2 linked regions of the Macaca fascicularis genome follow. The protein of the gene in region 1 interacts with the protein of each later gene in a pairwise test. Links are inferred from orthologs where the notes say so. Each region holds a gene or a part of one and is shown on either strand. Other genes may lie near its edges. The genes, in order: UROD and LRATD2.

What was found.
Region 2: the proteins of UROD (region 1) and LRATD2 interact in binary tests that used the Homo sapiens proteins (3 or more experiments, as listed by UniProt). The two-hybrid records come from large-scale screens. The link is inferred for Macaca fascicularis from reciprocal best matches to the Homo sapiens genes UROD and LRATD2.

Annotation. Positions count from the first base shown.
Region 1 is NC_088375.1:189,720,832-189,725,210, reverse strand, and holds the start of UROD (uroporphyrinogen decarboxylase), read left to right. Parts: upstream 1-1,477; 5' UTR 1,478-1,543; coding exon 1,544-1,563; intron 1,564-2,136; exon of another isoform or gene 2,137-2,179; coding exon 2,180-2,292; intron 2,293-2,404; coding exon 2,405-2,484; intron 2,485-2,560; coding exon 2,561-2,623; intron 2,624-2,841; coding exon of another isoform or gene 2,842-2,860; coding exon 2,861-3,058; intron 3,059-3,180; coding exon 3,181-3,342; intron 3,343-3,705; coding exon 3,706-3,843; intron 3,844-3,994; coding exon 3,995-4,095; intron 4,096-4,190; coding exon 4,191-4,257; intron 4,258-4,379. Other genes in the region: E3 ubiquitin-protein ligase HECTD3, read right to left, coding at 114-482. UniProt on the Homo sapiens protein: Catalyzes the sequential decarboxylation of the four acetate side chains of uroporphyrinogen to form coproporphyrinogen and participates in the fifth step in the heme biosynthetic pathway.
Region 2 is NC_088382.1:136,230,763-136,235,272, reverse strand, and holds the start of LRATD2 (protein LRATD2), read left to right. Parts: upstream 1-1,607; 5' UTR 1,608-1,967; intron 1,968-2,069; exon of another isoform or gene 2,070-2,251; intron 2,252-2,511; 5' UTR 2,512-2,607; coding exon 2,608-3,540; 3' UTR 3,541-4,510.

The sequences.
Region 1 (4,379 bases):
GCAAAGGGCACCGAACGCAATGCCAACTCAATACAGGGGAGGAAAGGGAAACAGCCAGAGGTTTCTCTGGCCCCGGGGGTCTTTTACCTGGTCCTGGGTGGGGAAGAGCTCACCTTTGTCAGCTTCACCCAGAGCCCGTGGCCGTTGCACAGCTCCTCGCCCGTGGTGCGCACGCAGGCGCCGCGCCGGAGCTCGATGCTGTCGCGGGCGGCGCGGAGGGGCCCGGAGCCGGTTCCGGGGGCTGGGCCTGCGGCGCCCACACGCAACCCCAGGCCCTCTGCCTCCCACACGGGCAGGAGCACGCGCGACGGTCCTGCCGGGTCCTTGTAAAGCTTGTAGAGCACCTCTTGCGGCACGAAAGCCAGCGCTGCCGGCAGCGGCCGCCCAGCGCGGAGGCTCCGCGCTGCCTCCGCCAAGAAGCGCACGCGGCCCAGCAGCTGCCGCGGGGACTCCAGCACCGCGCCCGGGCCAGGACCCGCCATGGCTAAGTGGCGGAGGTGAGCGCCTAAGGGCGATCCTACCCGGTGAACAGCTGGCGCGACCGCGGACGGAGCTTCCCACCACGCCCTGCCCCGCCTTTGGCCAGCCTTCGCCGTATGTTCTGGACTAAGCGCACCCAGCGCTCACCGTATTGCACTGTGTACTCCTACACTCAATCATATTACCTACCTCTGTGCCACCCTAACCCAGCCGACCAAACCCAAGATTGGTGATTTCTACCTGATCAATCTCCTTCTCTCCATTTCCTTGCTACTACCATTTTATCTCTACTGCTACTACCCTCATTCAATAACCGTTCTATCTGGCCTGGATCATTGCCAACATTTTTCTGGTTCTTCGGCCTGCTCTTTTTCCTCCCACTCCCAACGAATTTGCTGGACTCCCTATCCTATAGGTGGTGTGACTAAAATGTTTGAGACAATGGCTCCTTCCCCTGCCACTGACAGGAGTCTTGAGTCATTCGGGTTCTGTTTGTCACTCCTAATCCCAAGGACACTGGTAATCGTTATTCATTTTAATGTGATTACTGATTTCTGTTTTCCCAGTCTTATAGCTTCTTAAAGACCGGGGCTGTCTTGAGCAGAGCTAACCTCTACACCTACTGTAGGTCCAGGCTCTTAGTAGGTAATGTAAGTATATGACGATTTCAGTTTCCTGAGCAGCCTGGTTCCATCATCCTCAGTATGCCTGGCTGAATAAGACTATTAGAATCATGAGTGGGACTTGAGCCAAGCCTCCGGATACCCAGACCGTCAGATGAGAACAAATTCCTCATGTCACCGTAACATACAGTTACAGCGGAGTTCTCTTTTCAGCGTTTGTTGTTGCGTCGCTACAGCGGACTTTACGGTGAAAAAAGGTAGGGGTCCTACGGGCAGCAGCCAGGGCAGCCCTGGAGCTGTCGCGGGAGTCTGATCATGTGATCTTCAACATGGCGACGCCCTTGATTCCCTACAGAAAGGGGCGGAGCCTGGACGGGGTGGGGGCAGGCTCACATTCAGGTTAAGTTGCGAATTGAGCTCGCAGTTACAGACAGCTGACCATGGAAGCGAACGGGTTGGGGTGAGTTCTCCAGAGCACGCGGTGTGGCTAGTTGAGCTTCTGAGTCTTCCAACTCAGGACTCTATCCCTGTACTCCCCTTTCCCCACCTTGGAGATCTCTCAACCTGGACTCTGTTAGCTGGGATCCTGAATCCTAAAACCATGGATTTTTGAGACGTTCATCCCAGGGGCCTTAATTCAAGGGATGCCTCAGGATTTCCAACCAGGATCTCTATTCTGGGACCATCAACTCTCATCCCTCTTTATCCCCCAGCCTGGGGATCTCTCAGCCTCTGAACCAGCCCAGTGACATTCCCGTTTCTGAGACTCCGTAGTCCGAAGACCCCCAAACTATCCTTCCTGGGCCTTATTTCCTCCCCCTAGTCCCTCTAGTTGCTTCGAGCTTGGGAGAGTAGGGACTAAGTGGAGGGAAGAGGCCCCAGGGCGGGCCCTTCTAGAGTTTGTGCACCACCTGATAGGCAGAGAGGCGGCGGAACGGGCGGAAAGCCAGGGTTTGGGAGCTGGCCTGGAGGAGGTAGATAGCGGTCCTCGACTAAATCAGCCTTATGAATCCGCACTTTACCCAACCTCCAGCCTAGCATACTGACACCTACCCCTACCCCCACCTGATTGCCAGACCTCAGGGTTTTCCGGAGCTGAAGAATGACACATTCCTGCGAGCAGCCTGGGGAGAGGAAACAGACTACACTCCCGTTTGGTGCATGCGCCAGGCAGGCCGTTACTTACCAGGTAAGAGGCCCTGGAAATCTAGATAAAACTCCGGAAGGCGAAAAGTTTTCAAGGGGCAGGGGAGGGCTCTGGAGGGCCTCAAGGCTGAGCCCCGTCTTCCCTCTGTATGCAGAGTTTAGGGAAACCCGGGCTGCCCAGGACTTTTTCAGCACTTGTCGCTCTCCTGAGGCCTGCTGTGAACTGACTCTGCAGGTGAGGGGTGCACAAAAGAGGGAAAGATTTATGCCTTCAGTCTGCCACCTAGCAACCCGTCTCCTGTTTCCTACAGCCACTGCGTCGCTTCCCTCTGGATGCTGCCATCATTTTCTCCGACATCCTTGTTGTACCCCAGGTACCTACTCAAATCTGATCCTGGAATATAATCCAAGGACCCCTTGAAAATCCTTCTATCAGTCCAGTCAAGGTTTACAATAAGCACTTATCCTAACTGGATCGAGGGAAAAACTAAGGTTGAAAGAGATGGAGTTTGGCAGTTTTATTCTCCTTTTCCTTCCTTCTGGAATGAGCTGAACAGAACCTTTCCTCCTGGATTCCATTTTGGGAACCCAGATGTTTTCTCCCCCTCCAGGCACTGGGCATGGAGGTGACCATGGTACCTGGCAAAGGACCCAGCTTCCCAGAGCCACTAAGAGAAGAGCAGGACCTAGAACGCCTACGGGATCCAGCAGTGGTAGCCTCTGAGCTAGGCTATGTGTTCCAAGCCATCACCCTTACCCGACAACGACTGGCTGGACGTGTGCCGCTGATTGGCTTTGCTGGTGCCCCAGTAATGTGGGACAGGGCAGGGACTGGCGGCGTGGGAAAATCACTCTGGCAGGTCTGGGGTAGACAAAGGAAGGGTCAGTCTGGCTTCTGTACATGTGACACCATCTTTCTATCCTTCTGTAGTGGACCCTGATGACATACATGGTTGAGGGTGGTGGCTCAAGCACCATGGCTCAGGCCAAGCGCTGGCTCTATCAGAGACCTCAGGCTAGTCACCAGCTGCTTCGCATCCTCACTGATGCTCTGGTCCCATATCTGGTAGGACAAGTGGCGGCTGGTGCCCAGGTGAGTCCTGAGAGAGAGAGAAATAGGCTGAGATTTGGTCTGTAAGGACGAGAAGCAAGTGTCCTAAACCTGAGAGGGCAGGGGTCTTAATGCCAGGGATGAAAGAACCTTGGCCTCCAGTGATCTAGCTGAGCAGCCAAGCCCATCCTGACACTGGCAGTGGGGCTTAATGCTCTGAGTATTCAGAGACCAAAGCTAGTGCTGGGATCTGGAGAAAGTAAAACTTTTTTTTTTTTAATTACTGGATTTATAGGGTCAGGCAGTATCAGGGATTGAAGTCATTTGGGGAAAATTGAGGTGGATTTTGTATGTGGGGGGAGCTTCCTCTTTGTTACATATTTGTCTTCACCATACCCTAACTAGGCATTGCAGCTGTTTGAGTCCCATGCAGGGCATCTTGGCCCACAGCTCTTCAACAAGTTTGCACTGCCCTACATCCGTGATGTGGCCAAGCGAGTGAAGGCCAGGTTGCGGGAGGCAGGCCTGGCACCAGTGCCCATGGTGAGGATTGGGATGGGTTGAGTGAAGGTGGGCCTGTGGAGCTTTCAGGCTAAGTCCTGCATGGACTGGAGTGACCACTGGAGGGCAGCAGAAGTACAGTCAAGAAAGATTAGCAAGGCCCTCTGTAGCCTAAGATCTGCTTTTTTTCCAGATCATCTTTGCTAAGGATGGGCATTTTGCCCTGGAGGAGCTGTCCCAGGCTGGCTATGAGGTGGTTGGGCTTGACTGGACAGTGGCCCCAAAGAAAGCCCGGTAAGCTATGGAAGGGTGAGGCCTTGAGGTTGAGGTGGGGGTGTGGAGCTGCCACGTATGCGGTTACCAGAACGTGGCGCTGGCTTTGCTTCCAGGGAGTGTGTGGGGAAGACGGTGACATTGCAGGGCAACCTGGACCCCTGTGCCCTGTATGCATCAGAGGTAACAGACAGGGCCCCTCTGTGTATCTGTTACGGTGCACTCCTGTGGCTGTGGTTGTATTATTCTGTGTGCTTTTCTTTTTTAAATGTCTGTCTGTCCTTCTCTTCTACTCTGTATGTACA
Region 2 (4,510 bases), on another chromosome or scaffold:
CAGTAGCACCTAGGAGCAAAGTGGCCTCCCAGATCAGACAGTAGCAGAGGTCTCCCAATCTCATGAACATGGGATGACCAGCCATAATCTCTACAAGCCTAACTCTTGTCTATAATATGGTGATCATATGATGGCAACAAATATCACTCAGATAACAGCAGCCCCCACACCATTTGCTATCAAAAGGACTGGGGTGTGGTGGACTCATTCGGTCACACGTGCCTGAGGCCAGCCAGTCGGAAATTATTGAAACAGAATCTCACAGCACACAGTAGTCTCATGTTGATCTAACTTATACTGTGATCTCAGACTTGCTGAAGGACTAATTTCTATCACAGCCCTGCCAATATTGATTGCTTGGACTCAAAATTACATAAGTAGATTGATTTTTATTTTTTTCTCTCAAACTGGAAAGGATCACAGCAGTGCTAGTATATTCCTGTTTCCACTGGCTGGTTATACACGCTGGAAAAAATTAGTTAAAAGAAAGCAATGGAAGACAGAGCTCAGGTCTTGAATGGCATTTTTAAGTCCCCCACAGATAAGTTTGGGTGCTTGCAGTTGTGCCTAAACTTGTTTATTGTAAACAGAGCTGTCAATCTTCCACCCCCACCCGACCCATTATTTAAAAAATATAAACAACAACAACAACAAAACCACTTTGGTAGCCTACATTTAGGTAAAAGAAACGAAACCAGTGGGGAGGTGGAAGTGTCCTTTTGTGGTGGAGGTTAGTAGGCAGTACTGGTCTCCTGTCACTTCCCTAAGTCAACAGGAAGGAAATATATGCACCAGGGGCCTCTGCTAATTTGTTTCTAATTTAAGGACAATTAGGCAATTCCTACATCCCCCTAACCGCACCCCCCACCAAAAAAAAAAAAAAAAAAAAAAAAAAAAGCAGTCAGAGCTGCACGCTTTCTCTCACCATCCAACGAACTGGTACCCCTCTGGAAATACCAGAGGTTATGAACTTTGTACTAACTTCCAGGGACATCTAATAAATAGAGCGGTGGTCTTGGGACCCAGTCAGTGAATAAGTCTTCGTTCTGTGTTATACTGTTTCCTTTCTGTGATTTTCTTTTCTACCCCAAAGTTTCCCACTACTAACTCTGAAAATACCTTTAAAATAAAGCACTCTTCGAGCTGTCCTAGTGAAGAATCCTTTCTTGTGACCTTTAGGGCAAGAAATATGTTCCAGGAAAGAAAAGAAACGACTGTTCCTCCGTCTCCAGATACTCTGGGAAAAAAGAGGTGAAAGGGAAAAGACGCAAACACCAAACTCTCCTTCCCTTTCTAATTTCCACACTGGCAAGTTGTGTTTGCCTTCTAACTTCTCCCGGAAAGCAAGCGGAGTTCACAGCGCCAACCCTAGCCAGCGGGTGGATTATTTACCGGGGGATTTAAACCCGCTCCGGCGTGGGGGCGTGGCCAGGCGGAGCCCCGCGGCCTGAGTGGGCGGGGCGGGGGGCGGGGATCCCGGCGGCTCGGCGCAATGTGAAAAAGACCCGAGCTCGGGGAGTGAGCGCCTGTCTCTTTAAATGCCACGGGCTGCACTCCCGCCCGGCAGCCGGGAGCCGGATCTACAATCCCGTCCCTCCCGCTCCGGTGCTTGTTGCTCGCCCGGCCCGAGCGGGAGCTGTTGGCGCCCGGCTGCGAGGCTGCGGTCTTCTCCTTCCGCGCGCCCCACCTCCCCTGAGAGCTGGCTGAGGAGGTGCAGCAGCCCCAGCTGGCGGGAGGAGGCGCGGTGTGAACAGGGATTGCCCCCCGCCTTCAAGTATCCGGGCGCTACGCAGCCGCTGGGGAAAGACATGCCCCCAGTCTACCCGCTGCGCTGCCCTCTGCCCAGCCTCGCTGCCGCCCGCGCCGGGAGAGGGACTGCGGAGCCTACACCTTCAAACTCGTCCTAGAAGTCTTGGGGCGCGGCAGGGAGCCCTTCCCCAGGCCCCACGGCCTCTACCTCTCCGCGGGTGAGTTTGCGCAGGTAACCCGAGCCTGAGGGCGGGCGCGGGGGAAGGGCGGGCGAGCCGGGAGGAGGTAGCGCTGCAGGTGAGCCAGGTAGGGTGACTCACCTGCCCAGGTCGCGCTCTGAGATCCTCGCTTGTTCCTCTGGGGATGGATGCGTTGGTGGGGAGGAGGCGTCCCAGGGGCTAGTTAGGGCCCGAGGGTGGGAGGGGAAGTTAGCAGAGGAGGGGGGATTGGAGTAAAGTTTCTCTTTCCTTCCCTCTTCCTGTCCAAGCTTGGCAGGTAGGGCGCAGGCGGAAGCTGTAGAAGCTGCTGATGCAATGGGTTTTGCCAGGGCTAGGCGAAGGGCTGGGGACAGGGAGAACTGGAGTTGCCCAGTCTCCTGTGACCGTGACCTTAGAGGTGGAGAAACGAGGGAAAGCTCGCTACACCCGAAACTCCCCCTAAAATGGCTCCAGGTGCTGAGCCCCCACCGGTTCTTTTTCGGAATAAAACGCCCTTTTCACGGAGGGGCTCCTACATGGCTTTCTTGCCTTCCTCTCCCAACAGGTGGCTTCAGCCCCTGTCCGGGGACCTGTGCAAATGACCCTAGAGGTGGTTTCGCTTTCTCCCCTCGCGGCGGTGTGAACGTGTGTCCGCAGCGTGATGGGCAACCAGGTGGAGAAATTGACCCACCTAAGTTACAAGGAAGTTCCCACGGCCGACCCGACTGGCGTGGACCGGGACGACGGGCCCCGCATTGGGGTCTCCTACATTTTCTCCAATGACGATGAGGACATGGAGCCGCAGCCGCCGCCTCAGGGGCCAGATGGCGGCGGCTTGCCCGACGGTGGGGACGGGCCGCCGCCGCCCCAGCCGCAGCCCTACGATCCGCGGCTGCACGAAGTGGAATGCTCCGTGTTCTACCGGGATGAATGCATCTACCAGAAGAGCTTCGCGCCGGGCTCGGCGGTGCTGAGTACCTACACACCTGAGAACCTGCTCAACAAGTGCAAGCCGGGCGACCTGGTGGAGTTCGTGTCGCAGGCTCAATACCCGCACTGGGCGGTATATGTGGGTAACTTCCAGGTGGTGCACCTGCACCGGCTGGAGGTGATTAACAGCTTCCTGACTGACGCCAGCCAGGGCCGTCGCGGCCGCGTGGTCAACGATCTGTACCGCTACAAGCCGCTAAGCCCCAGCGCTGTAGTGCGCAACGCTCTGGCGCACGTGGGCGCCAAGGAGCGCGAGCTGAGCTGGCGCAACTCAGAGAGTTTCGCCGCCTGGTGCCGCTACGGCAAGCGCGAGTTCAAGATCGGCGGCGAACTGCGCATAGGCAAGCAGCCCTACCGGCTGCAGATTCAGCTGTCGGCGCAGCGCAGCCACACGCTAGAGTTCCAGAGTCTAGAGGACCTGATCATGGAGAAGCGACGCAACGACCAGATCGGGCGCGCGGCCGTGCTTCAGGAGCTCGCCACGCACCTGCACCCAGCGGAGCCGGAGGAGGGCGACGGCAACCTGGCGCGGACTACGCCGCCTCCCCGGCGCCCCCCTGCGCCCAGCTCGGAGGAGGAGGACGGAGAGGCGGTGGCACACTGATGGGCGAGCTGAGCGCAGAGCTGCGAAGGGGAACTGTTTGCAGTAGCAGCCGCTGCCCCCTTTCTCCCTCTCTTCCTCCCTCTTTTGCCACCGTCTGGGCCCCATCTGGGATTCCTGGGCCCTTTGGAAAAGAGTTGGTGAAATGCGCAGCCGGCTGTGGACAGGGGAGGAGGAAGGGGACAGAGGGAGCAGGTAGGAAACGCTTTAGTTGGGGGTGGGGGGCGTCTCTCTCTGCCCCCCTAAGTGTGTCTTCCTCTCCGCGGTGAGGCAAACTGTGGACTTGCCTGGCTATTAAACCTTGGTAGATCTGGGTTTATAATCGGCCATTCTTAAGCACGTGGGGTTGGGGAAAAGTCCGGAGCACCCATTACTGCCATTGCTTCCTATCCTGGGCTTGGAAGAATCCTGGTACAAAGGCCAGAGTGGGTTTGTGGAGTCGCCACCGAGGTACCAGCACAAAAGCTGCTTATCTCCTTTGGCGGAGCTGAGCTGTATGTGGGATCCAGCGGGGCTGGGGTGATTTATTTTATGGGATTCCTGGAGCGCAGGGCTGGTGAATCCATGACAGGGTCTGGGAGCAGCAGACCAAAACCACAGCAGTCTCCTATGAAGTTTAACAAATAGTTAAGCAAACTCGGGCTACAAAGACTTTGCTACCTCCCTCCTCCACAACCCCCAAGTAATTAGTCTTCTGGAGCTGGCTCTTAGCTGAGGCTCCTGCTACCTCCTGCTCCACCTGCCCCTTCCTAGGTTACAAGTAAATCATTGTCAAGGGCCAGCCAGGAGAAGATTTCAATTAAGGTTCTGTTCTGCTGCCTTTGTTTCTCCCCTGCTGTTGTAGGCACTTACAGCTGCGTTGTTATGAAAGGAGGGAATAGCCCTTTGTGTCTTTGATCTAATTAAACCTGCTCGGCTGTGTTCATCCGCAGGGCAGGCCACAGATAGGGTTGGCTGTGCCACTCCATAAAGT